4 linked regions of the Cricetulus griseus genome follow. The protein of the gene in region 1 purifies or fractionates together with the protein of each later gene. This does not show direct contact. Links are inferred from orthologs where the notes say so. Each region holds a gene or a part of one and is shown in the gene's direction. Other genes may lie near its edges.

What was found.
Region 2: the proteins of Arid4b (region 1) and Suds3 purify together in Homo sapiens (affinity purification with western blotting; 3 studies listed by BioGRID, with this or other methods). This does not show direct contact. The link is inferred for Cricetulus griseus from reciprocal best matches to the Homo sapiens genes ARID4B and SUDS3.
Region 3: the proteins of Arid4b (region 1) and Sap130 fractionate together in Homo sapiens (co-fractionation; 4 studies listed by BioGRID, with this or other methods). This does not show direct contact. The link is inferred for Cricetulus griseus from reciprocal best matches to the Homo sapiens genes ARID4B and SAP130.
Region 4: the proteins of Arid4b (region 1) and Sin3a purify together in Homo sapiens (affinity purification with mass spectrometry; 5 studies listed by BioGRID, with this or other methods). This does not show direct contact. The link is inferred for Cricetulus griseus from reciprocal best matches to the Homo sapiens genes ARID4B and SIN3A.

Annotation. Positions count from the first base shown.
Region 1 is NC_048596.1:237,300,171-237,308,365, forward strand, and holds part of Arid4b (AT-rich interactive domain-containing protein 4B), read left to right. Parts: intron 1-1,883; coding exon 1,884-1,968; intron 1,969-4,503; coding exon 4,504-4,702; intron 4,703-7,207; coding exon 7,208-8,195. UniProt on the Homo sapiens protein: Acts as a transcriptional repressor. May function in the assembly and/or enzymatic activity of the Sin3A corepressor complex or in mediating interactions between the complex and other regulatory complexes.
Region 2 is NC_048597.1:97,073,764-97,082,451, reverse strand, and holds the start of Suds3 (sin3 histone deacetylase corepressor complex component SDS3), read left to right. Parts: upstream 1-2,914; coding exon 2,915-3,163; intron 3,164-3,242; coding exon 3,243-3,321; intron 3,322-5,441; coding exon 5,442-5,511; intron 5,512-8,688.
Region 3 is NC_048595.1:205,646,163-205,653,292, reverse strand, and holds part of Sap130 (histone deacetylase complex subunit SAP130), read left to right. Parts: intron 1-1,172; coding exon 1,173-1,421; intron 1,422-1,583; coding exon 1,584-1,709; intron 1,710-4,201; coding exon 4,202-4,305; intron 4,306-5,156; coding exon 5,157-5,270; intron 5,271-6,417; coding exon 6,418-6,576; 3' UTR 6,577-7,130. UniProt on the Homo sapiens protein: Acts as a transcriptional repressor. May function in the assembly and/or enzymatic activity of the mSin3A corepressor complex or in mediating interactions between the complex and other regulatory complexes.
Region 4 is NC_048597.1:168,624,807-168,633,001, forward strand, and holds part of Sin3a (paired amphipathic helix protein Sin3a), read left to right. Parts: coding exon 1-93; intron 94-1,839; coding exon 1,840-1,929; intron 1,930-4,015; coding exon 4,016-4,134; intron 4,135-4,773; coding exon 4,774-4,984; intron 4,985-5,997; coding exon 5,998-6,114; intron 6,115-7,919; coding exon 7,920-8,158; intron 8,159-8,195. UniProt on the Homo sapiens protein: Acts as a transcriptional repressor. Corepressor for REST. Interacts with MXI1 to repress MYC responsive genes and antagonize MYC oncogenic activities. Also interacts with MXD1-MAX heterodimers to repress transcription by tethering SIN3A to DNA.

The DNA of each region.
Region 1 (8,195 bases):
TTCACAGTATGAAAGGAGTTTATGTGTTTTGTTTTCGAAGTACACACAGCATGTGTTGTTATTCCCATTTCACAAGTTACTTGAGATTTGTTCTGTTTTTCAACTTATAATGGGTATGTGTGTGTGTATTTGGGATGTGTATACTTAAGCATCCCACAGTATGCATGTAGAAGTTAGAGAACAACGTTTTGGAGTCAGTTCTCTCTTTCCATTTTTATATGGATTCTAGAGGTTGAACTCAGTCAGTGCTCTCAGGATTGGATGTCAAGTGTTTTTTACTTGCTGAGCCATCTTGCTAGTCACTGAGACAGATTTCCCAGGCTGGACTTGAACTCCTGGGTTCAAGTGTATTTGAAACTAGGTCCAACCAATGCCCTGTTCATTCCTACAAAATTTTATTATCTCTAAGATATGTTAGATTTGGGAAGCCAACATTCTACCATTCAGGTATCCTTTGTCCCTAAGTGGATTTCTTAAAGTATAATGCAGTTTTTGATACTGCCGTGACAGGCCAAATGTGCTGTAAAAGCTATTAAATACCAAAGGAAAAGTAATAGTTGATTTGCAGCTTTCCCAAGTATGTATTTGAGCCTCAAAACCATATATGGTATGTGACTAGTAAAAGACATTGAGATGTTCCCAGCATGCATCCTATAACTGTCCCCATTTTCTCTTCTTTTATGGCCACCATCAGGTGATCCTGTGTGGAGTTGAGCCAGTAGTTTTACTGTGACCCATATAACACTTGCCTAAGGGTTACTTTAGATACTTCCAGGCCTTCTATTTGTCATAACATGAAAACACATTTAATCAAATGATGACCTGTGTAATTTATCTTTTTTTTTTTTTCCTCTAGAGGAGTGGTCCATTTTAGAGATAACATGTCTCTTTGAAACCCAGAATGGCCTGGAGCTCCTCCCTTAGCCTCCTAAGGCCTGAATTACCATATCTTGCTAATTTAATTCTTGATTTGGGACCTTTGTTACTTCTCTATAAATGCTTGTAATAATGAATTGTATTTTAAACATTTTAAGCCTTATTTTCAGGTTCCATAGTTTTAAATGTTACTGAAGGCTGGAACCATAGCTCATTGATTGAGCATTTGCCTAGTATGTGCAAGGCTGTAATTTTTAATCTCCAATACTGCAGACAGATAAGCAAACAAGCAATAACAGATTGTTACTCTTTTTATGGATTTAATTTTAGAACACAGAAAGAGATGACTGAATTAATTTCTAATGTTACTTTTTTCTAGCTTATTATTTTTACAGAAGAAATTATTCTTTTTTGGTATAAATAGCTTAATGTAATCAACAGTATTTCGTACCTTGTAAAAGTCATCACAGCTCTATTGACCCTTTAATGTCTGTAAATGTATGAAAGAAGCTTTTTAGAACACAGAAAAGTTGGCAGGATGTTTTTTAGCATTTTATCAGCAGCACTCCCTACCCTGGGTTGTTTTGCATTCTCTAAATTGTAGTAGGATGCTTTCTATCAGTGTTGCTTAACTACAACATGCTTTCTTGGCAGGTCTAGAATGGAAACAAAACAAAACACCTACTTGCTGCTTAGGAGCAAAACAAAAGTGTAGAAAAGATTGTAATTTCCCATGTACGTGTTTGGTTTCAGTAGAGCAGAGGGTAAACCTGGAGGATTTATGAGGGTTTGGTTCTGTCAGTAGCTATATTGACCTTAGGACAGTCAATTTGACTCTCTTTGATGTCTTGATTGCATACTCCTATCAGGTTGATTTAAGAGATCTCCAAGAGCCTTTGAAATTGTAAGATGTTGGGACTCAATATTTGAGCTTTCTATTTGAATATAGCATAGTTCCTTCTGAGACATGTAGCTTACATATTTATGCTCATTTCTTTTCATTTTAGATATGATGAATGGATTAAAGCAGATAAAATAGTCAGACCTGCTGACAAAAATGTACCAAAGATAAAACATCGGAAGAAAATAAAGGTAAGCCTTGATTTTACCATGCACCATTAGCTGTTAAGTGCATTTTCCTTCAAAAAAAAAAAAAAAAAAAAAAAAAAAAAAAAAGGCCAATTAAATGCATGTGCTACTCCTGATGTTATCTTCTCTTGAAACGCACTTTTACCAGATGTTAGATTTTGCTCTAATTTTGTCACCTGGTGAAAAGGTTTTAGGAACAGTGCTAACTGATATTGGAGGCCTTTTCATTCTCAACATTGTATAAAACTGTATGACAAAATTTATCCATTTAAACCTTTCCTGTCTCTTGTAGTTCCCAACTAGGAGCCATCATGCATTGCAGGTAGGGGATGTGAGTTGTAAGTAGATGTAAGGTGAGGAGAGGAGATGTCTAAAGATAGAGGAGAGTATCTCTTCATCTATATCTGACTGGCTACTGGGTCAGAATGTTTTCAGCACCCTCTTCACCACACACTGCATAGCTACTATAGTATCTATGTTCTCATATGTGAAACTGTACTACTAACATGATAGGATTATTACTAATTATGAGATAAATATTTTAAATATTTTATTAAAAAACCCGGCCATTAACATCTTTTTCTTTTTGTTTTTTGGTTTTTCGAGACAGGGTTTCTCTGTATTGTTTTGGAGTCTGTCTTGGAACTTGCTCTGTAGACCAGGCTGGCCTTGAACTCACAGAGATCTGCCTGCCTCTGCCTCTGGAGTGCTGAGATTAAAGGCGTGCGCCACCAACGCCCCGCAAAATTTTAATCTTTTTAAGAAGGTTTTTTATACTTTGTGTGTAGTTCACATGCTTAGTAGTGGTTCTGAAGTCTTCTTAGTCCAATGAAACATTGTTATGTTCCTGTTTAGAGACCCCTTGTGGTCTCAGATGCTGAATTTATTTATCTTGTTGGCAATCCTTTTATCACTGTAAACTTGAGTCTAAGTTTCTAGTACAGTACTCCAGTACCTAAAGCTCAGGATTTCTTAAACCCTTTACATTTTTTGTTGGTCCTTATTGGAAAGTATGTAAATTATGCTATATTTAGCATTGTTTTTAGTAACTGGAAGAACATTTGCTAAATGTTTGTTAAAAATTCATGTCTTTGTACAAAGCAAGCTTTGGAATAGCATTGCTGAGTAGATGAGTCAGAGAAACAATGTTTGGGTCATGCACATGAAATGTTCTATGAATGTCTGTCTCTGTCCACTGCTTGGTACTAAACTAAACATGTTAAAATTCTTGGTCATAAGGAAAGAGGCTTGAGAACTATAAGTTTTTTAAAGTTTTATTATGCATTACTCTTTGGTATTGCCCCTCCCTCCCTCCCTCCTTCCCTCCTTCCCTCCTTCTCTCCTTCCCTCCTTCCCTCCTTCCTTCTCCCTCCCTCCCTTCCTCCCTCCCTCCCTCCTCCCTCCCTCCCAGTTTTCTTTAAGAGCCCTTGTTGGAGAAACTCATTTGACAGCCACTAAAAAATATATTTGAACTTAGACTGAAGTGAATTGTTTCAGCCTTTGGTGCACATGGTACATTGTGATTTCTGAGATCAAGTCATGAAATGCTGAAATGATGGGAGTAACAGTAGACATAGGCTGTGGTAGTCTACCTGCCCTTTTAAAGATGTTCTATAAGTTAGGCCCAGTCCCTTGATCCTTATTATTGAAACATGTACCAGATAACATGGAGAACACATTAAAACAGGCTGTCTGGTTCCATTGTCAGCATTTTGATTCATCTTGTTTTTAGGGGTCTGCTTTTCTAGCAAGTTCTCAGAAATTGCTGGCTAAGGACCCCACTTGGAGAACAGCCGCTACCCAAATTTTAACTGTTACATGTAAGGGAGTATTTTTCCCATGTACTATCTTTTAGAGACTTGTGAAAATAATCACTCATGTTTTCAGTCTGTCTATGTAATAGGACTTAAGAATTTTTGTTGCTAAGTCATACTGTGAAGAGCCTAAATTGCAAAACAACAAAAAACATTGCTTATAGGAATTACCTTAGCCTTGACTCATTTGTTTGTTAACTGAGCGTGAGAAAAGTATCAGCCTTTGAGTGAGGTAGGAAGGCTGCCTCTGAGCTCACTTCACAGCCTGTCAATGCATGTAATTTCTCCTGTAAATTTCAAAGTACAGAACTTGGCTATTGTACTTTACAGTGAGAATGTTCAATTTTAATATGAGTGTTGAAATTGAGTGTTTAATTTTATAAATATTAAATTTGGATCTATTATTTAATTTTCAAGAATTTGTAGCAGTTATTAGCAATACTCAGTTCCTACTCTTAGTCATCTTTTCTGTTTGATCCCTACTGCTAGACTGTAAATACAGAACAATTTTTTCATCTCAGTGTTTTCATGAATAACCTAAAATAAACCTGATTATTTTGAAGTTTTTCTTTTTGCATTTTCTGGTATTCTTTCTCAGTTAAACATTTAATAATATTAATAATAATAATAGGCATTTGATGTTTCTTTAAAATAGAATGAATATTGTTACTAATAAGTTGTTCATAATACATTATAGCTAATATCTAATGCTTTACTTACCTAGAATAAATTAGACAAAGAAAAAGACAAAGATGAAAAATACTCTCCAAAGAACTGTAAACTTCGACGTTTGTCAAAACCACCGTTTCAGTCAAATCCATCTCCTGAGATGGTTTCAAAACTAGACCTTGCTGATGCCAAAAACTCCGATACAGCTCATATTAAATCTATAGAAATTACTTCCATTCTTAATGGACTACAAGGTAAATATAACTGTTGCATGCAAGTATTTGATTTTAATTTCTATAAATATTTAAATGAATTTAAATGTGGTTGTGCATGACTGTAATTCCAGTACTCAGAGCTGAGGCAGGGGGATTGAGAGTTGAGGCTAACCTGAGTAATAAATCAAGAGAGTGTCTCAAAAAAATCCACGTATTCCTACCTCCTGCCACCCAGAAAAAATTCCAAAAGTTAAATTCTATAAAAGTAGTTCAGGTTGGTTTTTTGACCAGAATTTGCTGTGTGTGTTATTAGTTGGGCACCTCCAGTGTTGGGTTTCTCTACTTCTTGTCAAACACTGTCCTTTGTGATGCTGTCTAAAACATAGTTGTGCTGTGTATTAAGACTGTAAAGCAATTCTGAAAGTTATTTGTGAAGAACTCATCTGCTTGTTTGTTCTTTTTATGATGCTGTTATGGTAGCACACATGGTAATAGTGAAGCAAATAGTAACAGAGAACTGGGCTGGAGAGATGACTTTGTAGTTAAAAGCACTTGTTGCTCTGGCATAGTCCTGAGTTCAATCTCCAGCCCCCACATGACACCTCATTAACCATCTAGCTCCAGAGTGGAGGGGATCTGACACCCTCTTCTGAACTCCACGGGCATCAGGCAAACGTTTGGTGTGTGTACACACACATACATCCAGGCTAAACATTCATCCATATAAAATACTAAATAAACTATATCTAAAAAGCTTTGAGAATTGGAGATTATTAAATCTGGCATGAAAATGTATTGGAACAGGGATCTGATCTACAAAGTAAATTAATTCCTTTCCCTAAAAATATTTTAAACTGCTCATAACTTAAGTTTTGGTTTTTATTACTTTTGACTATAATAGAAATTAGATTTTCTCCTTTATTTCAGAAGACTGTATATGGATTCATTATATAAGCCTGCTACTATATACTATTCTAAAGTTTGCCTTAAAAGTTTTCTAATGTATCTGACATGTAGACTACTATATGAAAAAATATAGTTTAAAGAACAAGAATTAGACAACTTTAGTCACGAGCAGGTAGCAGTTAATTAGGTGTGCCTCCTCAGGAGTTATTACTACCTTAACTTTATGTAACATTTTTTTAAAAAGTAGGATTTAATTATTTATGAGTATACTCCTAAATAAGATATTGTTTATTTTAAAAACAATAGTGAACATTTAATGTAAGCCTCAATTTATGAGAAAGCTTAGGTTGAGGTTGCCTTTAATGCTGTTGGGGCCAAATGTAGTGCACACCTTTAATTCCAGTACTCAGGAGGCAGAGGCAGGCAGTCTCTTGAGAGTTTCTGGCCAGCCTGGTCTACAGAGTGAGTTCTTGGCCAGCTGAAGCTACACAGAGACTTGTCTGATCAGATTCTCTAGGTTATATTCTGATTTCAGAGTGTGCTTTATTAGAGAAAGATTTGTTGTAATACCTTCTTTGGAGAGGTAGGTGGTTCATTCTAGAATGATTAGCTGGCTAGAAGGCAGAGGAAGTGGGTCTTCACTGCACATAGTGAGTTCCAGGATAGCCAGGAGTACATAGAGAGACCCTATCTTGCCCCTACCTGCATTCCGTCCTCCTACCCCCACCCCAATATTGGGAATGGGAGGGCAATCTTGAGGAAGAATTATCTTGAGGAAAAATGTTGTTTTTGACTTGGCTGGATAGAAAGAATCAAGAGCTGTTCTCTAATATAGGTTTTGGATTTTTTGTTGTTGTTGTTGTTAAATTGAGGATTTCCTTGTCCTGAATACTCAGTAAAAATATTTTTTAAGGATTTATTTTATGTGTGTGTGTGTGTTTTGCCTGCATGTATGTATTTGTACCAAGTACCTGGTACTTACAGAGGTCAAAACATTGGTTGGACCCCTTGGAATCGATGTTAGAGATGGTTTTGAGCCACCGTGTGCATGCTGGGGGACTTAGGTCCTTTACAAAAGCAACAAATACTTTTAATTGCTGAACCATCTCTGCAGCCCTCCATAGTCTCATTTTGATGACAATGTTTTCTAGTACTTTAAGAGCAAGTACAAGAAAATGGCAAATTTCCTAGTTGTATTCACTTGAAAAAGTTTCTGTTCTAGTTACAGGTTTTTTGTTTTGTTTTTGTTTTGTTTTTTTTTTTTTTAAGTCTGTTTTTCACTAGTTTACCAAATGCTACAGCCTGGATAGAACACAAAAAGAAAAGGATTTTTATTTCTTGCATTGAGGGCATTGAGCAGCCCTCTGTGGTGAGAGCATCACAACAGTGGTAAGTCATGCAATAGCTAATCCACTACTGTGAAAAGGACATCAGTCTGTTCATGACATAGGCACTTCTTAAAGTTCCCACTTTGCCAGTATTGTCATAGTGTCAGTTAAGTTTCAGCTTCAGTTTTGAAGAAGACATTTAAATCCTAGCATCTAGGATAGAAGTTTTTCTTTCCATTTTTGTTTGTTTGAGGCAGACATAAACAATAGTCTTACTAGGCTTATTACTCCCCACCCTCTTATTTTTTAGCTTCTGAAAGTTCTGCTGAAGAAAGTGAGCAGGAAGACGAGAGGGGTGCTCAGGACGTAGACAACAGTGGCAGAGACGAATCAAAGGTAGACCATTTGACCCACACCAGAAACGAGCTTATTTCAAAAGAGGAACAGAGTAGTCCATCTTTGCTAGAAGAAAACAAAGTCCACACAGATTTGGTAATAGCTAAAACAAAATCTCCAGAACGATTAAGAAAAGATGTGGAAGGATTATCAGAAGATACTGATTTTGAAGAAGATGATGAAATCACAAAAAAGAGAAAGGATGTTAAGAAAGACACAACAGATAAATCTTTAAAGCCACAAACAAAACGAGGAAAAAGAAGATATTGTAATACAGAAGAATGCTTGCAGACTGGATCCCCTGGAAAGAAGGAAGACAGAACCAAGAGCAAAGAGCTGCTTTGCACAGAAAACAGTAGTAATAGCTCCTCAGATGAAGATGAAGAAGAAAAGTCCAAAGCAAAGATGACACCAACCAAGAAATATAATGGCTTGGAGGAAAAGAGAAAATCCCTACGGACAACTAGTTTCTATTCAGGATTTTCAGAAGTAGCAGAAAAAAGGATAAAACTTCTAAATAACTCTGATGAAAGACTTCAGAATAGCAGGGCTAAAGATAGAAAAGACGTCTGGTCAAGTATTCAGGGACAGTGGCCTAAGAAGACACTAAAAGAGCTTTTCTCTGACTCTGACACTGAGGCTGCAGCTTCTCCACCCCATCCTGCCCCAGATGAGGGGGCAGTAGAGGAGTCACTGCAGACTGTGACGGAAGAGGAGAGTTGTTCACCCATTGTAGAGCTAGAGAAGCCACTGCCAGCCAGTGTGGACAATAAATCAGTTGAAGAAAAACCTCTAGAGGTTAGTGACAGAAAAACAGAATTTCCGAGCAGTGGCAGTAATTCTGTACTTAATACCCCGCCTACTACACCGGAGTCGCCTTCATCAGTCACTGTGACAGAAGC
Region 2 (8,688 bases), on another chromosome or scaffold:
AACCTGGATCCGTCCTGAGCCACGCTGAAGCATAGTGTTTGCCAGGGATTAAAGTGCACCAGGACCAGTCTCATATTTTTGTGGAAATGGCTGTGTTGCTTCAGTTAACGGTAGAAGCTCAAAATAGCTTTCTGCAGGGGCACATTTTCACCCTAGGCCTTGGCAGACGTAGACACGCCTTATCGCTAAGTAAATGCTCTACAAACTTTTTTTTTCTTATTTATTTGTTTATCTAAGATTGGGTCTCACTGTGTAGCCCTAGAACTCTGCGTAGATAGTTTGGCCTTGGACTCAGAGATCTATCTGCCTGTCCCTGATGTGTGGTGGCCACCACACTTACCCCTCCCCCTTTTTAAAAAAGCATGTCATAAAACTGCTCTTTTCCCAAATTTGCATACTAAACTTTGTTTGCAAATCAAACTTCATCCCAACCACTGGGCACCCTTAAAATCTGGATGGTGGGAACACAGAGGCTTCCTGAGAAGGCCTGAAGTTGTGAACACAGGGCTCCAGGGTTTGAGTTTCAGGTCAAACTCTGAGGTAGGTATTTACTAAGCAGACTGACTGAGTACCATATTAGGGAGAGAAGCAGTGGTGGACTTTAAGGGGTGAAACTTGATTTTGAAGAAAACTTAGGCTTTATAGGCAAAGTTGGCTTATGGAACAAATAAATAAATAGATAAATAAAAGAATAAAAGTTGGCCAAGCCTAAAGTCACAAAGGGTTTTTAAAATGTAGTTTCCCTGTTCCAGAAGAGCATTTAATACATAAATTGCTCATTGGGCCAGCTCTGCTGTCTCCATGGAAGAAAAGGGGTAACTGTCATCACCCAGGTTTGTGTCTTTGTTATACACATACAACAGAAACCCATGACTATTAACGAAGGACAAGCAATCAGGGAGACAGAAATAAAAGCAAGCAAGATTACAAGAGAAGGGCCCAGCTTCTTGTAACCATTTAGTAACAAAACCAACTACTTTTTGATTCATTGTATCAATGAATTCTGATTTCAAAAATGTTGCCCTTCATTTTCCCCCCTTTGCTTTGTGAATAGCATTACTAATGGGAGCTCCAGTCCCTCAACGTGGAGTTAAGATAGTAGAGGTGATCCAACTCCAACAGCGGGTGGATACACACACACACACACACACACACACACACACACACACACACACACACACACACACACACACACACACACACACACTGACCTCATCCTCTGCAGGAGAGACCCCTCTGCAAACCTCTACTGAGGATGAGCTTGAAGAAAGACTCTTCTTACTGGGAAGGGGTTTCAGATCCTGGGACTTCTGGGAAACGCATCCAGCATTGCATTCTGGAAATTCTTGCATTTTACACAGAGGAAATATCTCTTACAAAGAGAACCAAGACTTAATTAAAACAAGGTAGTAAATGGGAGATGTCAGAATGAATGGGACCCAAAACAAGTGTTCTCCATTTTAGAAGTCTCTCTGGGGCCAATTTAATAAATTTGATCACAAAGGCTGTGAGAATCAGAAAGACTGTGTATTGGGTTCCACCCTGCCTTTCACTGCATTCTCGTCTGCCTGGATTTGTTACTTCTTCCGTTTTTCAGTGCAGATTTGAGTCAACTGAATGGTGTTACTGTGGCCACATCATCCCCACCTCCCCGCATTAGGAATTGAAGCTAGGGTTTCCAGCATACCAGGCAAGTGTTCTACCCAGCAGCATCCATGGCCCTTGTTTTTATTTTGTTTTCAGATATGGTCTCACTAAGCTGGCTGACCTTGATCTTGCTGTCCCTCCTGCTTTTATTTTCAAGAGTAGCTGGGATTATAGTCTTGACCCACTAAGCAGAGCCCACTTTTATTTATTTATTTAGGTTTTTCTAGACAATGTTTCTCTGTGTCGCTTTGGAGCCTGTCCTGGAACTTGCTTTGTAGACAAGGCTGGCCACATAGAGATCCACCTGCCTCTGCCTCCTGAGTCCTGGGAATTAAAGGCCTGCACCACCACTGACAGGCTTTTTTTTTTTTTTTAATTTAAAGCAAAACTGTAATACTGCGTTTCCCTTTTGGGGCGGTGGGGTGGGGTGAGGTACACAGCCAGGCAAATTAACAAATGCAGAAACTCTGTCTTCTTGCCTTTTTGTGTTTGTTCTCAATTCAGGATTTCTCTGTATGGCCCAGGCTGTCCTGGAACTCCTTTTGTAGACCAGGCTGGCCTCGAACTCAGAGATCTGCCTGCCCTGTGCTGGTACTACAACAGTGCGCCTCTATGCCCAGCGTTGGCTTTTGAATTTTAGCCAACGTATTTCCTGTAGGGAAATGCTTTATTTGCTCACTTGAAAATGAGCAGGTTAACTAGTTACTGGGTTAGGCAAAAGTACCTTAGAAATTATATTCGAGGAAACAGGAGGCAGCAGTCCCATGGGCAGCCTGGCTATGTAATTCTAAACTGATGCCACCGTTTTTTCTTATTTTTTTTTTTTTTATGGAGAATGATAGCTCTTTGATCATTTGTCAAATCAGGAAAACAGCTTACCCGGTAAATCTATTCAAAAGGAAGCACGAGGGAGGCCTGGGTACACTGGACACATAGGTTCACTGGACTCGGGGACGGAATGGCAGCAACTTGCCTTTAATTCTTAAGCCCCATTAAGGCAAGGGTGGAAGCAGACTCCTCATTTTCTGTATCACACACACTCTGGCTATCTAGGCTTCCACACCCACCAAAGGAACTGTTGATTTCGTTCATCTGCTTGAATAACAGACCTTGCCACCCATTCAGGGCTTTGCAAAGCCTCCGCCCATCAGGTCGCTTCCATCTCCACACACACTTTAGTTTTGACTCCGGGCGCCGCCTGGCGGCCGTCTCCGGAAGTGTCCTCCCAACCTCGGGGTCCTGACCGCAGGCAGGGCTGCCCACGGATATGCCTGACTTCAGCGACACCTCCCTTCGCCCCTCCCCCGTGGCCGGCCGATCGAGCATTCTAAAGACGACGATGAAGGAGGCGCTGCTTTGTGAGAGAACGTGGAGCCCGGCGTCTCACCCCTCGCCTCGAGGATGGCGGGATCAGGCTGTCTCCGGGCAGCCTCCGACCCGGAAGTGGCCGTCCGCGCGAGGCCCCCGTTGCCCAGCGCGGGCGCCGGGGGCGGAGCTCGGCACCAAGGGGCACCGGGTGTCCGCGGCTGTGGCTCCGCGAGGTGGGGGCCGTCCGGGGCGCAGCCAGGCGGCCGCGATCTCCGCGGGACACATAGGCGGCCCGAGCGACGAGCGAGGAGCTGGAGAGCGCCGAGGACGACGAGCGCAGCTGCCGGGGCCGCGAGTCCGACGAAGGTGCGGCCCGGGCTGGGATCGGAGCCCGGGGGCCTAGGGGGCAGGGGGCAGAAGTCGCCAGAGCTCTTGAGAACCAGGGGTCCCTTTAAGATTGTGTTCCCGTTCGGTGTCTGAGCTCCTTTCTGGGTGGCGGGGGAGAAAGTCATACTTCGGAGTGCACTTGGGTCTCAGTGATGCCCAGCGTCTCTCCTCGAAATGCTTAACCCCCTAGCTCCACTTGGGGACCTGGAACCAGCCGGGTGTAAGTATTCGTGTGGCTGGCACCCACCCCGGCTTTTGTGGCCTTAAGCTGCCCAGCGGCTTGTTTACCCACCTACTTGCAGGGTAGTATGGAGTCCTCACTTCCTGGGTAGGTTAAATGAAATCCGCTCTGCCTCTGTGAAGTGGAAGCATGGGAGTGGGGGGAGGTCGGGATTCGTCTTCAGTCCCCGAGTGTTTTGCATCTGCGTTATCGCTCCTCGGGTCTTCACTTCTCAGTCTGGACTTTGTTTACTGAGGAAGGAGCCAGCTAAGTGGGGGAGAAGCTAGGTAGAGAGGTGGAGACGGAGGGGAACCGGGGAGGCCTTTGAGTGGAGTGTAGGATTCTGGCACAAAGTCGGGCTGTAAAAAGCAAAAGCTACTTCAACTGTCTGCTAGGAGTATCGTCTTGCTCCTCTTAGTCTCTCTAGTTCTAAGGGACATAGCTGACTGGCTCTAGACAGGACCTCTGTGAAAGTGTCTCCCGACCCCCCCCCCCAAAAAAAAAAAGCGGCGTTCGCGGAGCAGAAAGTTGAAGGAACTGATTGCTTTTGGTTTAACTGAAGGCAAGGCTTTTAAACCAGGGATTTCGAAATGTGAAACGCTGCATTGCTTTTAATGACCACGAGGGGGCGATGTGAAGACAAAATTTGATCCCCTTGGATGTAGGGGCTATTGGATTCACCTATTTGCTCAAGACCTGTTTAAATTATTATTATTGTTGTTATTATTATTATTATTGTTGTTGTTGTTGTTATATATGGGGGCCTATAGAAATGGTTCATCCGTTTAGGGCGCTTGCTGATTTTTTTCAGAGGATCCGGGTTTTGATCTCGCGCACTGTCTATATGCAACTCCAGCTCCAAGGGCTCTAGTGCCTGCTGACCTCTGTGGGTACCAGGCAAGTTAAGTGGTGCACCCACATGCAGATGAAGCATTCATATACATAAAACGAAATAAATATAATTGAAAATGTTTTTTTAGTTAATTAATTTTTGTTTATGTGTATGTCTATGTGTCTGAGTTTATATGCACCACGTATGTACAGTTGCCCTTTGAAACCAGAAGAGGGTGCCAGATTTCCTGGAACTGGAGTTACTGGACAGTATAAACCATTTGATGTGGATGTTGGGGAACCAATCCCTATCCTCTGCAAAGAACAGCTTTCTTAACTGTACTAAGCCACGCCTCCAGCCCCTATTTTTGGCCATGCAAGTTTTGGATCAATTTTTCAATTTTATTTATTCATTTGTTTGTTTGCTTGTTTGTTTGGTTTTTTGAGATAGGGTTTCTCAGTGTGACAGCCCTAACTGTCTTGGAACTAGCTATGTAGACCAGGCTGGCCTCGAACTAACAGAGACCCACATGTCCCTGCCTCCAGAGTGCTGAGATTAAAGGCAAGTGCCACCATCACCTGGCTTGGACAATTTTTTAAAAATGATCTTCTTTCCTCCCCACCTCCCTTTTTTTAATCTGTTAACTTTGAAAACATATCAGTTTTTAGAACTGAATTTGCTGTGGGGACGGCCTCCTTTTTACCGTTTATATCTAATGTGTGGTGGGATGGGCATGTACGCACCCAGGTCCTCTCTGCACACCATTGCTGTGTGGCCTCCATCAGGTCTGCCTGTCTGCTGTGACCTCTTCCTGATTGTATGTCAAACAAAAGCAGATACTCAGCATAAATCCAAGATGCAAAAGGCATTGGCATTTTCTTCTTTGTTTTAACCACATTTACTGCACTTATTTTTGCTAGTAGGTTCATGCAGACCCGAAGTGGGTAGAAATTTATTATTCTCCCAGATGCCCATTAATTATGCTGTCACGATACCAGTTCTGTGACTTTTGATCTCAGCCGTCATTTCTTCCCTCATTTCACGCAGACACTGAGGACGCCAGTGAGACAGACCTGGCGAAGCACGATGAGGAAGACTACGTGGAGATGAAGGAGCAGTGAGTCCGGCTTTATGCCTTTTCCCTCTGGAATACAGAGTCGATTCAGTCTTCATAGAGACCCTGATTGTGACCTTAGTGTTTGCAAAGCTCACATTTCCTCATAATCTCCCCCCCTGGTCACATCTAAGAGTCTTCACCTGTTATGGGCTCTTCTGCCGGTATGCTAGCAAGAGCCATGATTGAAATAATGGGGGAGGGGGTGTGATGAGGCCATCATAGATCTGATTTGAAAGCTGGTGCCCAGAGAAATGGGTATCTTGCAGGCCCCTAGGCTGCATATTGTTGGCAATACTCTAGGTGTCCTGAGAATTCAGGAAAGCTGGGGTTGGAGCATTCTTTGAACTCTTCCTGCCATCCGTTCTGTTTGCTCTCACACATCCTCACTTAAGCCCCTCCTTTGTCTTCAGCCATGGTCACATGCGCCCAGAGAAACTAAAGCCCTGTGTGCTTTTTTTGGGTGGAGTGGGGGAAATGATTTTGAGACCAGGCTAGCCTCCAGCTCACAGGGTGCTGGGATTAAAGGTGTGCACCGCCACACCTGGCTTTGCTCTTTTTCTTTTTTTCTTCCTTCCTTCCTTCCTTCCTTCCTTCCTTCCTTCCTTCCTTCCTTTCTTTCTTTCTTTCTTTCTTTTCTGTTTTTTGTTTTGTTAAAATAAAGAAAAACATGAGCCTGGTGTTAGTGGCAGAGGCAGGAGGATCTCTGTGAGTTCCAGGCCAGCCTGGTCTATAGAGCTAGTTCCAGGACAGACTCCAAAACAATACAGAGAAACCCTGTTTTGATTTTTTTTTTTTTTTTTTTTTTTTTTTTTGGTTTTTCGAGACAGGGTTTCTCTGTGGCTTTGGAGTCTGTCCTGGAACTAGCTCTTGTAGACCAGGCTGGTCTCGAACTCACAGAGATCCGTCTGCCTCTGCCTCCCAAGTGTGGGATTAAAGGCGTGCGCCACCAATGCCCGGCGAAACCCTGTTTTGAAAAAACCAAAAAAAAAAAAAAAAAAAAAAAAAAAGAAAAGAAAAAAGAAAGAAAGAAAGAAAGAAAGAAAGAAAGAAAGAAAGAAAAAGAAAAATACTAGCAACCGCCAACAAGAAACAAACCTGGCTCTTGCCATGTTGCCACACTGGTCTCAAACTTTTGGGCTCCAGTTGTCCTTCTGCATCAGCCACCCACAGAGCTGGGGCTACAGGTGCCTGCCACTGTTCTGCCCCAAACTTTATCTGTGTCCAGGAAAGATGAGTTAGCCAGAGGGTATCACTCCATGGTTCAAAGTTATCTGGAAATCATTTTGTCACCCAGGGGTGCCCTGAACTCATCACAACCCTTCTGCTTCATACTCCTGAGTGCTGGATTACAGGTTGTGAGGCATTAGCCCAGTTTTTAGAAAGTGGTGATTGGCTCTATTTTGAGGCCCTGTTGGATCTATCTTGAGACCCTGTTGGGTCTGTCTTGGGACCCTTCCGCTCCTATAGGGCAGGTGGTCCACGTTTCTGACCCCCAGAGTCTCCTTTAAACAATGTGCTTGGCCACCTCTGGAATCTGACATTTTCTAGCTTTTGAACCCAAAGGAGCAACTCTGCCAGGTGTGGTCAGTGCTGAAACAAGGTTACATGAATAATTCATACATGTGTATTCTCAGTTGTGTCCCGGAACTCTGCCTGGCCTTTCTACTTTGCCAGCTTTTTACTGGTGGCATCTGGTGGCTTGTTTGAAATGGGTTGTCACAGACTCTTCTAGGATGTGATCACAATGGATCTGGTGTCGTCCCCGCTCCCCTTCCTTTATCATTCTGCAAGCATTCCATTTCTGAGAGGGCTCAGTGGCAAGAATTGGCTACTCCCTCTGTGTAGTGGGGCTTGGGTTCCACAGACTTCTCAGACACATGCCTTCTGGGCATCTCCCCATCTACCTCTTGTCCTTATCATGTTTCAGAAACAGTTTTTTTTTGTTTGTTTGTTTTTGTTTTTTTTAATAAAGATCCATTTATTTTTCTTTTTTGTGTATGGGTGTTTTACCTGCATGTTGTGTACCACATTTGCAGTGCCCTAGGAGGCCAGAAGAGGGCATTGGATCCCGTGGAACTGGAGTTACAGACTGCTGTCTTCTGCCACATAGGGGCAGGAACTGAACCCTGTCCTCTGGAAGGGCAGCCAGTGCTCTTAACCCCTGAGCCACCTCTCCAGCCTCCTCAGCAGCAGTTTCAGAGATGCTTTGCTTGATCTTGTCTCCTTCATGCTTACTAAGCTAGGCAGCCATTGTGATGAAAGCTGAACACTCTTAGTCGTGATGAATATGAGCTCATTAGGGTTTGTCATGATAGAGGGGTTGGGATGGGGCCCTCAGGCCTGTCACTGTTCTGAAAAGAGGTGTCTTGCATTTGCCAGTCTTCTTGAGGAATGAAAAGGTCTTGTTTGAAGGGTGTTCTCTTAAGCCTTTGTTGTTGCTGTTTATCACTGGGAAGTTGGGGGCGTTTTCCATGTCGAGGCAAAAGTATCACCCCAGCCCGGGACTCACAGCTCAGACAGACTTGTTAGTGTGTGTGGTTGCCTGTAACACCTCTGTGTGAGTGTTGAGAAGAAGAGGTCACATTGCTCAGTGTGTCTGTGCTCTGCCCACCTGGGGCTGCACAGCCATCCTTCATTTTAACTTTTGAGCCTCAGTTGGCATTGTGTTTCTGATCCTGAAAATGCAGAAGCTTTATAGTGACAACCAAGGTTGGCTGTAGACTTCATGCTTATACACTGTGCTGTCTGTAGAGGAGGTATGCTAAGGATGTTTCCTTATTCCACCAGCCACGATCCTTTTTGAAATTACATTTTTGTGTGTTTGTTTTGTACCTTGAGAGGGGTTATGCCATGCTGTACTGTGGCAGTCAGAGGTCAACTAGCAGGAGTTGGTTCTCTCCTTCCACTGTGTTGGCCCAGGAATAGAACTCGGGCTATCTGGCCTGGTGGCAAGTGCCCTTATCCTCTAAGCCATGTCCCCAGTCCCTTTGCCATTTATAATGTAATTGTAGGGTTGTGTAGACTCGATACAGGAATTGTGTTTAACCTCATTTCTGCATCTTAAATCCCAGAGAGTAGCACCTTCTCCTGATATTTTGGTGGGCTCTTGCTTACCCCTCACTGTAGGCATGTATTAATGCGCTCTTGCTTACCCCTCACTGTAGGCATGTATTAATG
Region 3 (7,130 bases), on another chromosome or scaffold:
CCCTGGAATAAAGACAGACACACATAGCACAAGCAGCTGAACGGCTCTGCTTTCAATTAAATCAGTACAGATAGAAGAGATTATTATTATTATTATTATTATTATTATTATTATTATTATTATTATTCACTGGGGTACAGAAATCTGGTCCAGTGGCTCACTGTCTGTAATGCCAGCTAATTTTTAAAAAAGGAAAAATAAAAAATTAGTCTTTTAATAGTTTACAGGTACAAACGGCTTTGTCCTGAGTATATTCTTGAGGCTGTGGAGAATCAAAGGGTTTTATTCTAGGAAATCACTTAAGTTCTTTCCATTTGGGTGGAGTGACCCTCTCCTTCCAACAGTGCATCAGAGACGACTGAAGCAGTCAGCCTTTGTTGGAAGAATGATAAAAGAGAGTGGTCACAGGACAAACAGTGAAATAAAAAGTTGGGATCTTAAGCCAGGCAGTGGTGGCACACACAGTTTTTCCCAGCACTTGGGAGGCAGAAGCAAAGGGATCTTCAAAGCCAGCCTGATCTACAGAATCAATTCTAGGACAGCCAATGGGAGGGCTAATAGGCAATAGTTCTTTGTGAGGTCCAAGGCTTGCTAGAAGCCACTACTCAATGGAAATTCCTGGAGAGTTAGTGATTAAGATAGATGTGAGGCAGTTTGCAGTTATTAGTAACAGTGATATATAGGATATGACTGTTAGAAGTGAGTAACAGTAGCTAAATATAGGAAACCTGTTCATGTAAGGTAGAATAAAAATGAAAATTCAGGGAGGCAGAGGCAGGTGGATCTCTGTGAAATCGAGACCAGCCTGGTCTACAAGAGCTAGTTCCAGGACAGCCTCCAAAGCCACAGAGAAACCCTATCTCGAAAACCAGAAAAAAAAAAAAAAAGAAAAGAAAAGAAAGAAAAAGAAAATTCAGGTGAACCTGTGCAATTGGGAAGCCCTTGCTATATGGTCCACACTAGTTCAGAATAGCGCTAAGTTTCTCAGTGCCTGGTAGATAGTAGGAAGCAGCTCACAACTCCTGCCTAAGAGGATTTTATATACTGCCAGGCCCATAAGAAACCTCTGTACTTGTTAGCCAGCCAGCTGTCTTCATAATTGTTATCCTGGAAATTGAGGGAAGCTTTCCAATATTTGGTTCTCACTGGTGTGTGTGCTTCACCCCCAACAGCAGTCCCTCCTCTGGCTACCAACACTGTGTCTCCATCTCTGGCTTTGCTGGCAAGCAACCTGTCCATGCCTACAAGTGACCTACCACCTGGTGCCTCCCCAAGGAAAAAGCCTCGAAAGCAGCAGCATGTGATCTCAACAGAAGAAGGGGATATGATGGAGACAAACAGCACTGATGATGAGAAGTCCACTGCCAAAAGTCTTCTGGTGAAGGCTGAGAAACGAAAGTCTCCGCCCAAAGAGTACATTGGTAAGGCCACCTGGCTGATCGTCACCTGGCTCTTACCACCTAATCAGGTCCATCTCAGAGCATCAGTTTCATTTGTGTCTCACTCACTGCAATTGAATGTTGAGGATTATTTAAGATACCTAACATGCCACTTAATGCCCTCCTGTTTTCTCATTGGAATAGATGAAGAAGGGGTGAGATATGTCCCAGTGCGACCAAGACCTCCCATCACTTTGCTTCGTCACTATCGGAACCCCTGGAAAGCTGCTTACCACCACTTCCAGAGGTACAGTGATGTCCGGGTCAAAGGTTAGTTTCCTTAGAAATGTCTAGTATTAATCATGAAATGGCATAACATGTAAGCTCTATTGTAGTCACAATAAAAAGTATTAGGATCACAGTTCTCTGATTTCCAACCAAAATATGCAATATACAGTTGAGTATAACAGTGGAGAAGTATTCTTTGTTCCCAGAAAGCTGTGTGTTTATTGGAATCCCAGTGAAATGAACAAGGAGAAGCCTTAGTTATAATAAGTTCTGTGTGTTAACAGTTCCCTGAGTACTGATTCATTAACCTCCTTGGTTCCCCCAAGTACTCACAGGGAGCCCGTAATTGTATTGCAGTTTAACGTAGACAGAGTGCATTATAATTTCTAGGATGCTAAAATGATTATGTACACTATAGGTATTTGTTTCCAAAAGATCTTCCATTCAACACATACATGAAACACTTAAAATGACCTAGGGGAGAGACTAAGGAGATGACTCAGTGGTTAAGATCACTGGTTGCTTTTGTAAAAGACCTCAGTTCAGTTCTCAGCAGGTACACGGTAGCTTACAATTAGATAATTAGTTGACTCCAGTTCCAGGAATTCCAGTGCTGCCTTCTGGCCTCCCTGGACACCAGGGACAAATGTGGTAAGAAAGAAAGTAAAAACAGCAGGGTGTTGGTGGTACATGCCTTTAGTCCCAGCACTCGGGAGGCAGAGGCAGGCGGATCTCTGTGAGTTTGAGACCAGCCTGGTCTGCAAGAGCTAGTTCCAGGACAGCCTCCAAAGCCACAGAGAAACCCTGTCTCAAAAAACCAAAAAAAAAAACAAAAAAAGTAAATACACCCAAACACACAAAATCATTCTCTGAAAAAGCTCTTAACAAAGCTGAAAAGAAAAAAGAGAAGACACAAAGTTGTTGATGCAGATTAATAGTAAATTGTATAGTATGTGCAAGGCCCTGGGTAATAACAGAACTTGGTTTGAAACACTCCCTTGCTATATATTCCAGACTCGCCTTGAGCTTGTGATCTTTCTGCCTCTGCCTTCCTAGTATTGGTGTTGTATGTGTGTGCACCACTGCAGGTGAAAGGACAAGATATGGTAGTACATGCTTAATCCCAGTGCTTGGGAAACTGAGAAAGATTATGAATTGAAAGCCAGCCTGGGCTTCTAGTAAGTTATAGACCAGCCTGGGTTAGAGATAGAGCTCAGTCGGTAGAGTACTTGCCTAACCTGCAAGAATCCCTAGGATCAGTTCCCAGTACTACATAAAAGCAAACAGTAGCATGTATCTGCAATCCTAGGACTCAGGAAGCAGAGGTAAGAGAATCAAGAGTTCAAGGTCAACCTTAGCTACATAGCATTTCAAGGCCTGCAGGGGGATACTGGTGTTTTAATATTTTCCAATTAAATAAATTTTTAATGAATACAGTTTGTAGAACAAAGTAGGTTCACCTCAAAACAAAGTCCGAAGCTCTAGCACAACCTGATTGATAACCCTCCAGCAGCTTCCCCTATGAAACTGTACAGTCCAGCTAGAAGGCCTATTACAGAGCAAATAAGACTAAACTCACCTTTTTACAGACAGCCCTCAAACCTAATCTGTGCCTCCCAGTCTTGGTGATAACATCATATTCATTTTATTTATAGTTATGTTTATTTACATATGGTTTCAGATAAGAATAGCATACTACAGGAAATAGATACTCAGAAAGGACTGTCCCTTTGTGCCCAAGACAAGAAACTCTACCTCTGTGCTGCCCGGTTACTGTGTATCTAAATCTCTCTTCTCACATTAGAAATACAACCACCACCACCACCCAAAAAAAGCTGATGGTGGTGGCACACGCCTTTAATCCTTGTACTCAGGAGGCAGAGGTAGAGGGTTCTCTGTGAGTTCCAGAACAGCCTGGTCTAGAGAGTGAGTTCCAGGACAGCCAGGGCTACACAGAGAAACCCTGTCTCCAAAAAAAAAAAAAAAAAAAAAAAAGAATCCCCACTTGGTAATTCTCTTAAATTATAGGTAACTCTCCAAAAAGCTTCCAGAATTTCTAGTCCAGCTCTCTGGCTGCACATAAGCCCCACACATAGAACAAGGGTCTCTTTCCCAGAAGACCATTTCTCCTCTGCAAGATTACCATAGGAGCTAGCTGTCCTGCTAGCTCCGGTTAGCAGAATATGACTTAAAAGCTCTCTCGTGGAACTGATGAAAACACAGAAAAGAAGCTGGTATAATGGTGCCTCCTTTAATTCCAGTGCTCAGGAAGGAGAAGCGTGTGAGTGAGGTCAGCCTGGTCTACACAGCAAGTTTCTGGCCAGACGGGCTACATGTTGAAACCCTGTCTGAAAAAATGTTACACATATGGTTGGCCCCTCTTCCCCCTGATGTAAATGCAGAAGACTTACTTATAAAGATGTTTGAGGAAAGAAATTCTGATAAAATATTGACACGTAAACTCTTTGAACCCAAATGAGTTTGCTTTTATAACAAATGGAGTAATACTTAATTTTATTTGTATGTGGTTCCAGAGGAGAAGAAAGCTATGCTACAAGAAATAGCTAATCAGAAGGGAGTGTCCTGCCGTGCCCAAGGCTGGAAAGTCCACCTCTGTGCTGCCCAGTTACTGCAACTGGTAGGTACAGTTCTGTCACTTGTGTCATGCCAAAAGAGGGAGCCCAGTAGGTAGCCAGCCTGATGTACCACAGGCCCTGGGTTTGATCCCCAGAGCTGCCTAAAGTGGGGTGATAAAGGCACATAGGCCTGTGATGTCACAATTAAAGCAAGTAGATCTATTAGATGGTAATTATTTATTTGATGGAGGTGGGTCAGAGGACAGCCTTTGGGAGTAGTTTCTCTCCTACTATATGAGTCCTAGGGGATCAAACTCAGATTATGATGCTTGGGAGCAAGTGTCTTAACTCACCGAGCCATCTATCCAGGCCTGAATTTTAGTTCTAATTACCTGGATCCAAAATATATGAAAGTGCTGTAGTGTAAGACCTGAAGTTATCCCGGCGTTGGTGCTGCACGCCTTTAATCCCAGCACTTGGGAGGCAGAGGCAGGCGGATCTCTGAGTTCAAGGCCAGCCTGGTCTCCAGAGCGAGTGCCAGGATAGGCCCCAAAGCTACACAGAGAAACCCTGTCTCAAAAAAAACAAACAAACAAAAAAAAATGACCTGAAGTTAAAGTTGAATATTATGTCCTGTCAGGACATATGAAAAGAGGGGAGCTAAGTGGTCTTCCCATGAGCCTCTTTTCCTAAGCACTCTGCTTCCTCAAGAAGGTTCTTCTTTAGCAGTTCCTTCACCATTGGCCACCACACGGTTTGTTTCTCACCAAGTAACAGGCTCAGTGACCTACCAGCTCCTCTTAGGGCTCAGACCTGTGCCATCTTGCTTTGGAGAGCAGGCAGGGGTCTTCTCTACAAAGCCTGCCTCCCACCATGCCTGGAGTCACAGTGTGCTCCCTCTTGTGTGTTGCAGACAAACCTAGAACATGATGTTTATGAGAGACTTACCAACCTACAGGAAGGAATTATCCCAAAGAAAAAAGCAGCAACAGATGATGATCTACATCGAATAAATGAGCTGATACAGGTTTGATGAGTCCTCAGCCTTCTGAGTACCACTTGGTCACGAAAGCATCTCTTCTTTTTCCTTCATCTGTCTATTTACTTGGGTTGAATTTTAATTGCAACATTTCTGTCTTTCCTTTCCTCTCTCCAAACCCTCCCATATTCCTTTCCCCACTGCAAGAGTGTTTTTGTACAAACTTACTTACTTCAGTATGCATTACCAGGAGGTGCTCAACCATTTTATTTACTTTATTTTCTGGTTTTATATACGTATATTTTATGCCACACACATGCAAGTGTATGCAGAGACCAGAAGAGGGTGTTGGATCCCCTGATATACCTATATTTTATGCCACACACATGCAGGTGTATGCAGAGACCAGAAGACAGTGTTGGATCCCCTGGAACTGAAATTACAAACAGTTGTGAACACCTACATGACTGGGAACCCAATTCAGTTCCTCTTAAAGAACAGCAAACACCCGTAGCTGCTGAGCTATCTCTCCAGCCCCTTTTTTCACCTTTTTTAAGTGTTATTTTCTTTTGTCTCCCTCTCACTGATTCTTTCTTCTTTCTAATTAGTCTTCTTTCTACATTAATGTCTTTTTTTTTCCAGTAACCCCTTGAGTTTCATTAGAGTTGTTTTCAAGGAGCATGGGTGGGTGTATACAAAAATATGTGCTCCTTACCAGTGAGCCTATGACCTCCCCAGCCACAGGCGTCTACTCAGATTTATGGAGTCAGAAATGGATTTCCTTCTGTGGAGCCACCACAAATCCAATCAGAAGGAGTCCTTTACCTTTATAGCAGACTGGCCACCATTGCACCAATAAGTTCATTTTGCCTGGCCAGTTGGTAATGCACACAGGGACTACAAGATAAGTAAGACTTAAGTAAGACTTAAGACTATTGATAACAATTCTCTCAACACAATAAGGGCTGGCCAGCAAGAAGAAAATCCATGTCCATCTTGATTTCCCTTTGTCCTTTTACCAAAACATGCAGCAATAAGGTCCCACAAATTAGTTCTAGTGGGGCCTCAGGCCTCCCTGGCCAAGAACTCAAAGGGATAGTATAGTCAGCCTTGTTCTCTGTTCTCTGAGTGAACAGGCCTCTAAAAGCTGTTTCATTCCCATGACAGCCAGGTAATAGTGTGCCTTCTCTTCCAGGGAAACATGCAGAGGTGTAAACTAGTGATGGACCAAATCAGCGAAGCCAGAGACTCTATGCTTAAGGTTTTGGATCACAAAGATAGGGTCCTGAAGCTCCTCAACAAGAACGGGACTGTCAAGAAAGTGTCAAAATTGAAGCGAAAGGAAAAGGTGTAGACCCAGAAGAATCAGGACTTGGAAACAGAATTTATGAAGAATAATGATTTGAGGGGGGAGGGGGAGAGGGCTTTGACTACTTTCACAATGGAGCATTGAAATGCGGGACAGTTTTCTTCATTTACTTGAGGAAGCAGAGTTGATGGCACAGAAAGGTCAGAGCTGGACTGGCATGGTGAGCCCTCCTTCCTCCAGGTACATGCCTGTTACACCTCTGTCTTCAGCAACTCCCGATACTCGGTGACACAAATGGCCAGCTGAGTTTTCAGCCTTCCAGTCCATAGGCTGTATTTATCTGGTGGATTCCTGCAGGGCCTGAACTGAGCCTGGACTGAAAGTATCCACTTGGACAATCTGTTATCTCTCTAGACTAAACAGAAAACCTCTTCTCACTCCAGTCAGTTCTTCAGTTTGACCGTCCAGTTTCCAAATTGGCCTACAGTGGTGCCACAGCACCCGGAGAGCTGCCACATCTCACACAAAAGGGTTCCAGCAATCAGCTGTCATCTATTTTCCAAGTGATGTTGTTACATTGTCTGTCCTGCCTGTATCAG
Region 4 (8,195 bases), on another chromosome or scaffold:
AAGCCCCAACTGAACAACAAGCCACAAAGGCCCAGCCAGAATGGCTGCCAGATCCGCAGACACTCTGGAGCGGGTACCACGCCTCCAGTGAAGGTGAGAGTAGACAGATAGGTGATAAGATGGTTACAGCCTGTATTTCCAGAGCACGTTAGTATAGGCCACAGAAATTCCCTCCAAAGCTTCTTAGTAGCTTTGCAAATGGCAGGTATGAAGCACACTCACCATGTGGGTCAGTGTGTGTGTGTGTGTGTGTGTGTGTGTGTGTGTGTGTGTGTGTGTGTGTGTGTGTGTTTCCAGCTTCTGTATTTTTTTCCTATATTCTCTCTCCTTTGCTGTGAGCTTCTCACTCTTTTACTTTGTTGTCAAGACTTACTAATTTCTATCATGATTTGATGTGTTAAAATTGCCTTGTATTACAGGATGATTCTTAAACTGATAAATGATAATAAATGAATGATCTCTGAGGAAATTCGACTCTTGTGAGCCTAGTGCAGATGCTTTGTATTTTCTTAGTCTTCAAGGGCTGTACTAGAGGGCAGTCTTTTGCTCCTGTTAGTGACTACTACAGTGAACACTAGTGACCTGTCAATAGAAAGCCCAGTTTGTCTCCTTGATTTAGTGTGTCTGATATAAGAAGGAAGCAGAATGTATTCATTGTTGAATTTCTCTGGGAATTCTAAACCATGTAATATGGAGTAGAGGTGTCTATAGAATTTGGTTAAAGCAAAAAAGACAGTGGAAGGTGGTGGGTGTCAAGTGGCTCCAAGGACTGACACTCTCTGAAAGGTTGTTTTGGTACTTGCAGTGTTTTCTCAGTTTTGGAATCGGGTTGAATATAGTAGTGGTTTTATTGTTTGGTTTTTTAACTTCAAAAAGTATTCTGTGGATTGCAAGAATTAGCTCAATAGCTAAGAACTCTCTCTTGGGTCTGTTTCCTTCTACACCTGATAATCCACAGGTAGAAACAGTATGCTAGTGCTTAGTTTCCACGTCCCATAGAGACAGAAGCTGCTGGCAGAGTTGGTTATTTCTTCACAGGTAGTAAGAGGTGGGTTTTTAAAAGTAAAATTTTCCTAGTGGGGTTATATTATGGCCTTTTCATTTCTGTTTGGCCTTCATTGTACCTGGTACTCAGAAGTAGTCCAGGCTAATTGTCAGCTCATGGCAACCCTCCTGCCTCAGACTAATGAGTGAAGGGATATAGACTGTGCCAGGCTCTCCCTCCCACTTTTAAAACTTTTTTTTTGTTTTTTTTTTTTTTTTTTTTTTCTTTGAGACATAGTTTCTCTATGTAGCCTTGGCTGTCCTGAAACTCACTTTGTAGACCAGGCTGGCTTTGAACTCACAGAGATTTACCTGCCTCTGCCTCCAAGTATTGGGATTTAAAGGCATGTGCCACTGCCATGTGGCTTTCAAGTTAAATTATTAATATGGCTAGGGGTTACAGTGACACCTGTCCTAGCAACACTGTGATGTGATGGGCAGGGCAGCAAAGCAGATCTTTGAGTTTGAGGACATCTAGGGCTACACAGTGACACTCTCAAAAAAAAAAAAAAAAAAAAAACATTAGCAGTATTAGTTTGAGTGGATATGCTGATAAGATGGTTATGCTGTCTACTAGACAATGAACTAATTTTTTTCCCTATGGATTTTTAAGTTGAAATAGTATAGGTTAAAGATTTATTTTTTAAACCCCAGAGTTAAAGGTTATGATAGAAATTTGTGACTGCAATCTCATTTGTTCTGATTAGTTAGTAGTAGTAGAACCATTTTAGCAAAATTAAAGAAAATTCACTCAGCATTGTATGTTTTTGTTTTATTTCTTATTTTTATTTCCAGAAAAAACCCAAACTGCTTAGTCTAAAGGAATCTTCAATGGCAGATGCCAGCAAGCATGGTGTTGGAACTGAGTCATTATTTTTTGATAAGGTAAGCAATGAGTAACATTTGATATTAGTTGTTAAGAGTAGTTATCTAGCCCGGGGCGTTGGTGGCACATGCCTTTAATCCCAGCACTTGGGAGGCAGAGGCAGGCGGATCTCTGTGAGTTTGAGGCCAGAGCGAGTGCCAGGATAGGCTCCAAAGCTACACAGAGAAACCCTGTCTCGAAAAACCAATAAAAGTCATCTAATCCCCAAGGTTTTGTTTAGGAAGTGGCAACTGATTAGGAGTTTTTAGCATTGTTTTTATTTAATCTTCGGGTTTGTTTTGTTTGAAGACAGAATCTTTCTATGTGTAACTTAGGTTAGCCTTGAACTCACCTTGTATTCCAGGCTGGCTTTCAGTTCCTCATCATTTGGAGGTGGATCTCTGTGAGTTCGAGGCCAGCCTGGTCTACAAAGCGAGTTCCAGGACAGACTCCGAAGCTACATAGTGAAATCCTATTTGGAAAAAAAAACAAAAAAACCCAAAAAATTAGTTTTCAGTGCTGTAAGTGTGTGTGTGGGAGGTTGTGTGAGAGAGAATGTTAGAACGTGCACATCAAAACAGATATCTGTCCTAATATTTTACCTTACCTGAGGCAGGGTCTTTTGTTGAGCACCACTGACAGTTTAAGGTATCTGGCCCTGGAGCTTGTAGAGGGAATTTGCTATCTCTGCCTCCCAACTCAATCCCAGTAGGTGTGCTGGAATTACAAATGTTACACTACGTCTGACTTGTCCCAACGTTTTCCTTAGACTTGCATGACAAGTGTTTTATTCATTGAGCTATCTCTCAATGTCCCGTGTTGTCAAACCCCCCCCCCCCCGTGTGTGTTTGTGTGTGTGTGTGTGCGAGCACGAGAGAGAGAGAGAGAGAGAGAAGAGAGAGAGAGAGAGAGAGAGAGAGAGAGAGAGAGAGAGAACACTTGAGCATATATATGTGTGGAGGTCAGAGGTTAGTGTTGGGTATTATCTTCAGTTGCTTCTCTGCCTTGTTTTTTTGAGAGAAGGACTCATTGAACCTAGAGCTCACAAATTGGTACACTGACTTGTCTGTAAGCTTCAGGGGTCTTCCTGTCTCTGCTTCTCGAGAGCTGGGATTACAGTTTTATATTCCTGTGCCTAGTATTTTATGTCGGTGCTGGGAGTCCAAACTCTGGTCCTCTGCTTGAGAAAGAATCCCTTTGCCATTTGAGCCATATCCTCAGGCTGTTTTTGTTGTCATTTTTAAGATTTAATTATTAGATGTGTATATGTGTGCCTTTATGAACACCCATATGCCATGAGTATATAGGTGTGGTTATGAATTACCTCATGTTTGTTGCCACCTAGTCCTGGGTCCTCTACAAGAATGGGATGCACTTTTAACCACTAAGCCATCTTTCTGCCCTCCCCCCACACCCATCAGCCTGTTTTTGTGTTTTGAGGCAAGACCTTGTTGAATCTCAGGCTGGTCTCAGGAGCAGATTGGTCTTGAACTTGGTGTGGTGCCTGCTGCCTCTGTCTTAAGAATGCTGACATTCTAAGCATTTAGGAGGAAGAAGATCCAGATTTTAAAGGCTGTCCTTGGTTATATATAGCACGTTTAGGGTTTGTCTCTGCTACATGACATCATGCCTAAAACAAAACAACATACAAAAAGTTTTATTAACAAGACTATTAAAACAGTATTGAAAAATTTCTTTCAGTATCTCTTAAGATGGACTACAGAAGCTTAGGTAATTGACTTGGTCTGAAGTAGCAAGCATATGAGAAGGTGTAGTGCATGGTCTCACATTTTAATTATAAAAAATTCTGAACACATGTAAAACTAAAGAGATAATAAAACGACCCTTTGTGCTCTTATCAAGTGTCAGTAGTTCCGTTGCCTGTTCTATGTGTTTGTTCCATATGTATTCATACTCATTTTAGATTGTTTAGAGACAGATTACATTGTCTCATTTTTTGCTTTTTAAGGTGGTTTCTTTGATCATGTCTAAATAAAATAACAGCAATTCCTTAGTAAATATCAGATTAAATTTACTCTATTAAAAAAAGAAATTGATGACCCTGACTCTCCTTGTAACCGTTTTTCTTCTGATTGTTTCCATAAGGTCCGAAAGGCTCTTCGGAGTGCAGAGGCGTATGATAACTTTCTGCGCTGTCTTGTTATATTTAACCAGGAGGTGATCTCTCGGGCTGAGCTTGTACAATTAGTCTCTCCTTTTCTGGGGTAAGTGAAGTGAGGAGCACAGCTTCTAGTACTTCTGATACGATAATGCAGAGATTGTAAAACAAAGGTAATTGAGTAGTTGTCAGAAATGACAGTGTCAGAAGGTGCCTTATAAGTCTTCTAGTATAACTTTCAGGTTGGGAAAACAGGTAGAGCTCGGCTTGGTGGCACATGCCTTTAATTCCAGCACCATAGAGGCAGAGGCAGGTGAATTCAGAATGACCTGGCTTACAGAGAGGACCACCCCCCACACCTCCCACCTCAAAAAAAAAAAAAAAGTGTTAACAGTGTATCAGCTGTGATGCGGCACTCATGGTCTCTTGATTGTCTGACCAGCACTACATGTTTATAGGCACTGATCTTCCAGGGCTCTAGAATTTTGATTATATTTGCCATCCCGGGGATTATATGAAAAGTGAGGCAATATTCTAAACAATGGCTTCTTAGCTTCTTACTGTCTTGTTGGAAAATACTACATAAGGAAAATGGAACTTAACTGGTTAAAGGATGCTTCTCAGGTAGAAAATAATTATTAACTCTGGCAGTAGAGTTGTGACCCACCATGAACTGTAATGTTGTTCCTCATAATAACTGCATCCTGCCTTGAATTGCTTACCAGCTTTTGGTTTTGTTCTTCAGGAAATTCCCTGAATTGTTTAACTGGTTTAAAAACTTTCTGGGATATAAGGAGTCTGTACATCTAGAAAGCTTTCCAAAGGAACGAGCTACAGAAGGCATTGCAATGGAGATAGACTACGCCTCTTGTAAACGACTGGGCTCTAGCTACCGAGCCCTGCCAAAAAGTTACCAGCAGCCCAAGTGTACAGGACGGACTCCTCTGTGTAAAGAGGTAAGGGTCAGCCTTGGATCTTCAGCTTCTTCAAAGCAGGGTATTGACAGATAGTACTAGGGCCAGAATTTTTTAAAGTTTTCATTTATTTTTAATATGTGTATATGTATATGAAATGTGGTCTGCTTGTGGAGATCAGAGACAACTTGTCAGTTGCTTCTCTCCTCCTACCATCTGGGTTCCCAGGATCAAATTCAGGTGGTCAGGTTTGATAGCAAGTGCCCTTATTTATCTGCTGTGAACCCTGTCTTACAAGAAAGGCCAGGATTTATATGAATTGTGAAATCATGAACCTTTTTTCAAAAGAAAATTTGTATTCAGAACTTTCCCTTACTCTATTCTTTTGTGAACTGTTTTAGTTTGGGTTTCTATTGTTCTTGATATAATACCATGCATGACCAAAGCAACTTGGGAAACCATCTATTTTATGCTTCTGTATCATTGTTCGTCACTGAAAGAAGTCAGGAGAGGAACTCAAGCAGGCCAGGAACCTAGAGGCAGGAGCTGGTGCAGAGGCCATAGAGGGGTGCTGCTTACTGGCTTGCTCAGCCTGCTTTCTTATGGAACCCAGGACCCAGCATGGAACCATACACAATGACTTGGAATCCCCTCCCCATCACTCCATTCCCAGTTAAGAGGCCTAGCTATTCTTCCACAGGTCCTTAGTTCAATTCCCAGCAACCATGTGATGGCTCACAACTATCTCTAGTGGGATCTGATGCCCTCTTCTGGCATAAAGGAGTATGTGCAGATAGGGCATGTAATTAAATAAATAAATCTTTAAAAAAAATTGAAAAATTTAAAAATTTTTCCGATCTTATAGTCTGACCTTATGGAGGCAATTTCTCAATTGAGGTTCCCTCCTTTCAACTAACTCTAGCTTGTGTCAAGCTACAAAAAAACTAACCAGGACACCAAATATTTTTTCCTCTCTATAGTATTGTCTTTTTATTGAGAATGTTTAATTACCAGTAAGTTTTAACAAGCTTTTCTGCCTCTTTTTCTACCCAAAGGTTTTAAATGATACCTGGGTTTCCTTCCCATCATGGTCTGAAGATTCCACTTTTGTTAGTTCCAAGAAGACTCAGTATGAAGAACATATTTATCGTTGTGAAGATGAACGATTTGAGGTATCCTCCTTTGTGATTTGAAGTTTGGGGAACAAGGAAGATGTGAAATGAAGGGGTATTTAAATACTCTGTGTGAGGCAGCTTAAAAAAAAAAGTGCCCTAGTGCCTGTAAGAGTTACATTTTAAAGGGGATGGCTGGGATGGGAAGATCTAGAATGAATGAATCAGCTGGTAGAGATATCCCTTATTGCAGGAAGGGAATTTCTGAAACTAGACTCAAACATCTCCAGTATTCAGATGATGTTTACTAATACCACACCAAAGGGAGTCAATTGTATTTTGCATATATGTGTTTGACTTAGTATGTTCATTACACTGTGTTGACTGGGTCTGCTTCTTCAAATCAGTGGGAGAGATCTCATACAACATTCCTCTTCAGAAGAATCACATGCTGTCTCCTCACTGACTGGTGGTTGCCATCTTTTCCCCATCTCTGTTACCGTTCTATAATTGTGATAAATCTCATTATCAAGACAACTTATAAAAGAATTGACTTGGTTTAAAGTTTGAGATGGGAGTTCATGTGGTACAGAGAAGAACTATCTGAGAGCTCACATCTTGATCCTTAACCAGGAGGCAGAGAAGAATGCCTTGAGAATCATACTAGTCTTTTGAAATCTACAGGCCCACCCCCTAGTGATAGACCTCCTCCAGTGAAACCACACCTTCTTTCCCTTCCCAGACAGTTTTCTGAGCTAGGGATTAAGAATTTAAATATATGAGCCTATTGGGGCCATCCTCATTCAAACCACCACTCCTCTAGAATTAATGGCCTGATTAGTTATTGCAGAAAACTAAATTGTATTAAGTGTTAATTTCTATGGGTAGTTGTTTGTTTGTTTGTTTTGTTTTTTTTGTTTTTCCTGTTTTTGCAACAGGGCTCTGTGTAGCCTTGGCTATCCTGGAACTCTATGTAGACCAGGCTGCCTTGATCTCAGAGATCCATCTGCCTCTGCCTCTGCCTCCGCCTCCTGAGTGCTGGGATTAATGTGAGTGCCGCCATACCCAGCTTCTAATCAAGGTGAAGAACATTTTTCGAGTTGGGTAATGTAGTGTACCTATAATCCCTGGCGAGGGGAAGGCTGAAGGAGTTTAGAATTCTTGGTCCTTCTTGGGTGCATAGACCCGTTGGACGCCAGTCTGGCTACTTGATACTCTTTTTCAAAAGGAAAGGATAATAATCCTGAATTTGTTGCCATTGGGTGTGAAGCAGTAATTTAATATTTAAATGTTTTAGACATTTAAGTTAAGACTCCTATACCCTTTAGTCCCACAGCTGTCTTTGGATTGTTTTCTTACTATTTGTAATGTGTTTGCTCAAGTGAGAAAAGTTGATAGGCCAGATATTGCGGCTCACATTTGTAATCCCAGCGTTAGGTGCCAGAGGCAAGAACTTACCACAGTCGAAGACCAGTCTGGTCTACAGAGCATGTTATGTTCTAGGTCATCCATAATTAAAACTGTGTCTAAGTACAAACAAAAGTATAAGGAAATGCATCAGTATACTAGCCTTCTTAGTCCCCCTGGCCTGTGTTTGGCAGTGCCAAGCAGTGTGTGACAGTGGTGGCTGCCGAGAAGTTCGTGTGCTTTATGACTTATGCATATGGCATTTCTTCCAGAAAACAACCTCATGAAAGTAGTATATGCCATTGTTCATATGTTACTGATGGAGAGCCTTACATGGCTTGTATAGGAACTATACAGGACTCCAATCCTGAGGAATTTGACACGCTCCTTATTCTCATAACTACTGTATTCTGGTTTCTGGCCTGAGTACCTTCTTTTTTGTTTTGTTTTGTTTTAAGCTTGATGTAGTTTTAGAGACCAATCTTGCAACAATCCGGGTTCTGGAAGCAATACAGAAAAAACTTTCCCGCTTGTCTGCTGAAGAGCAAGCTAAATTTCGCCTGGATAATACCCTTGGCGGCACGTCAGAAGTCATCCATCGGAAAGCACTCCAGAGGATATATGCTGATAAAGCAGCTGATATCATAGACGGTCTGAGGAAGAACCCCTCCATTGCTGTTCCAATTGTCCTTAAAAGGTGTGTATCTTCTGGCTTTTGTACGCTTTGTGACAGG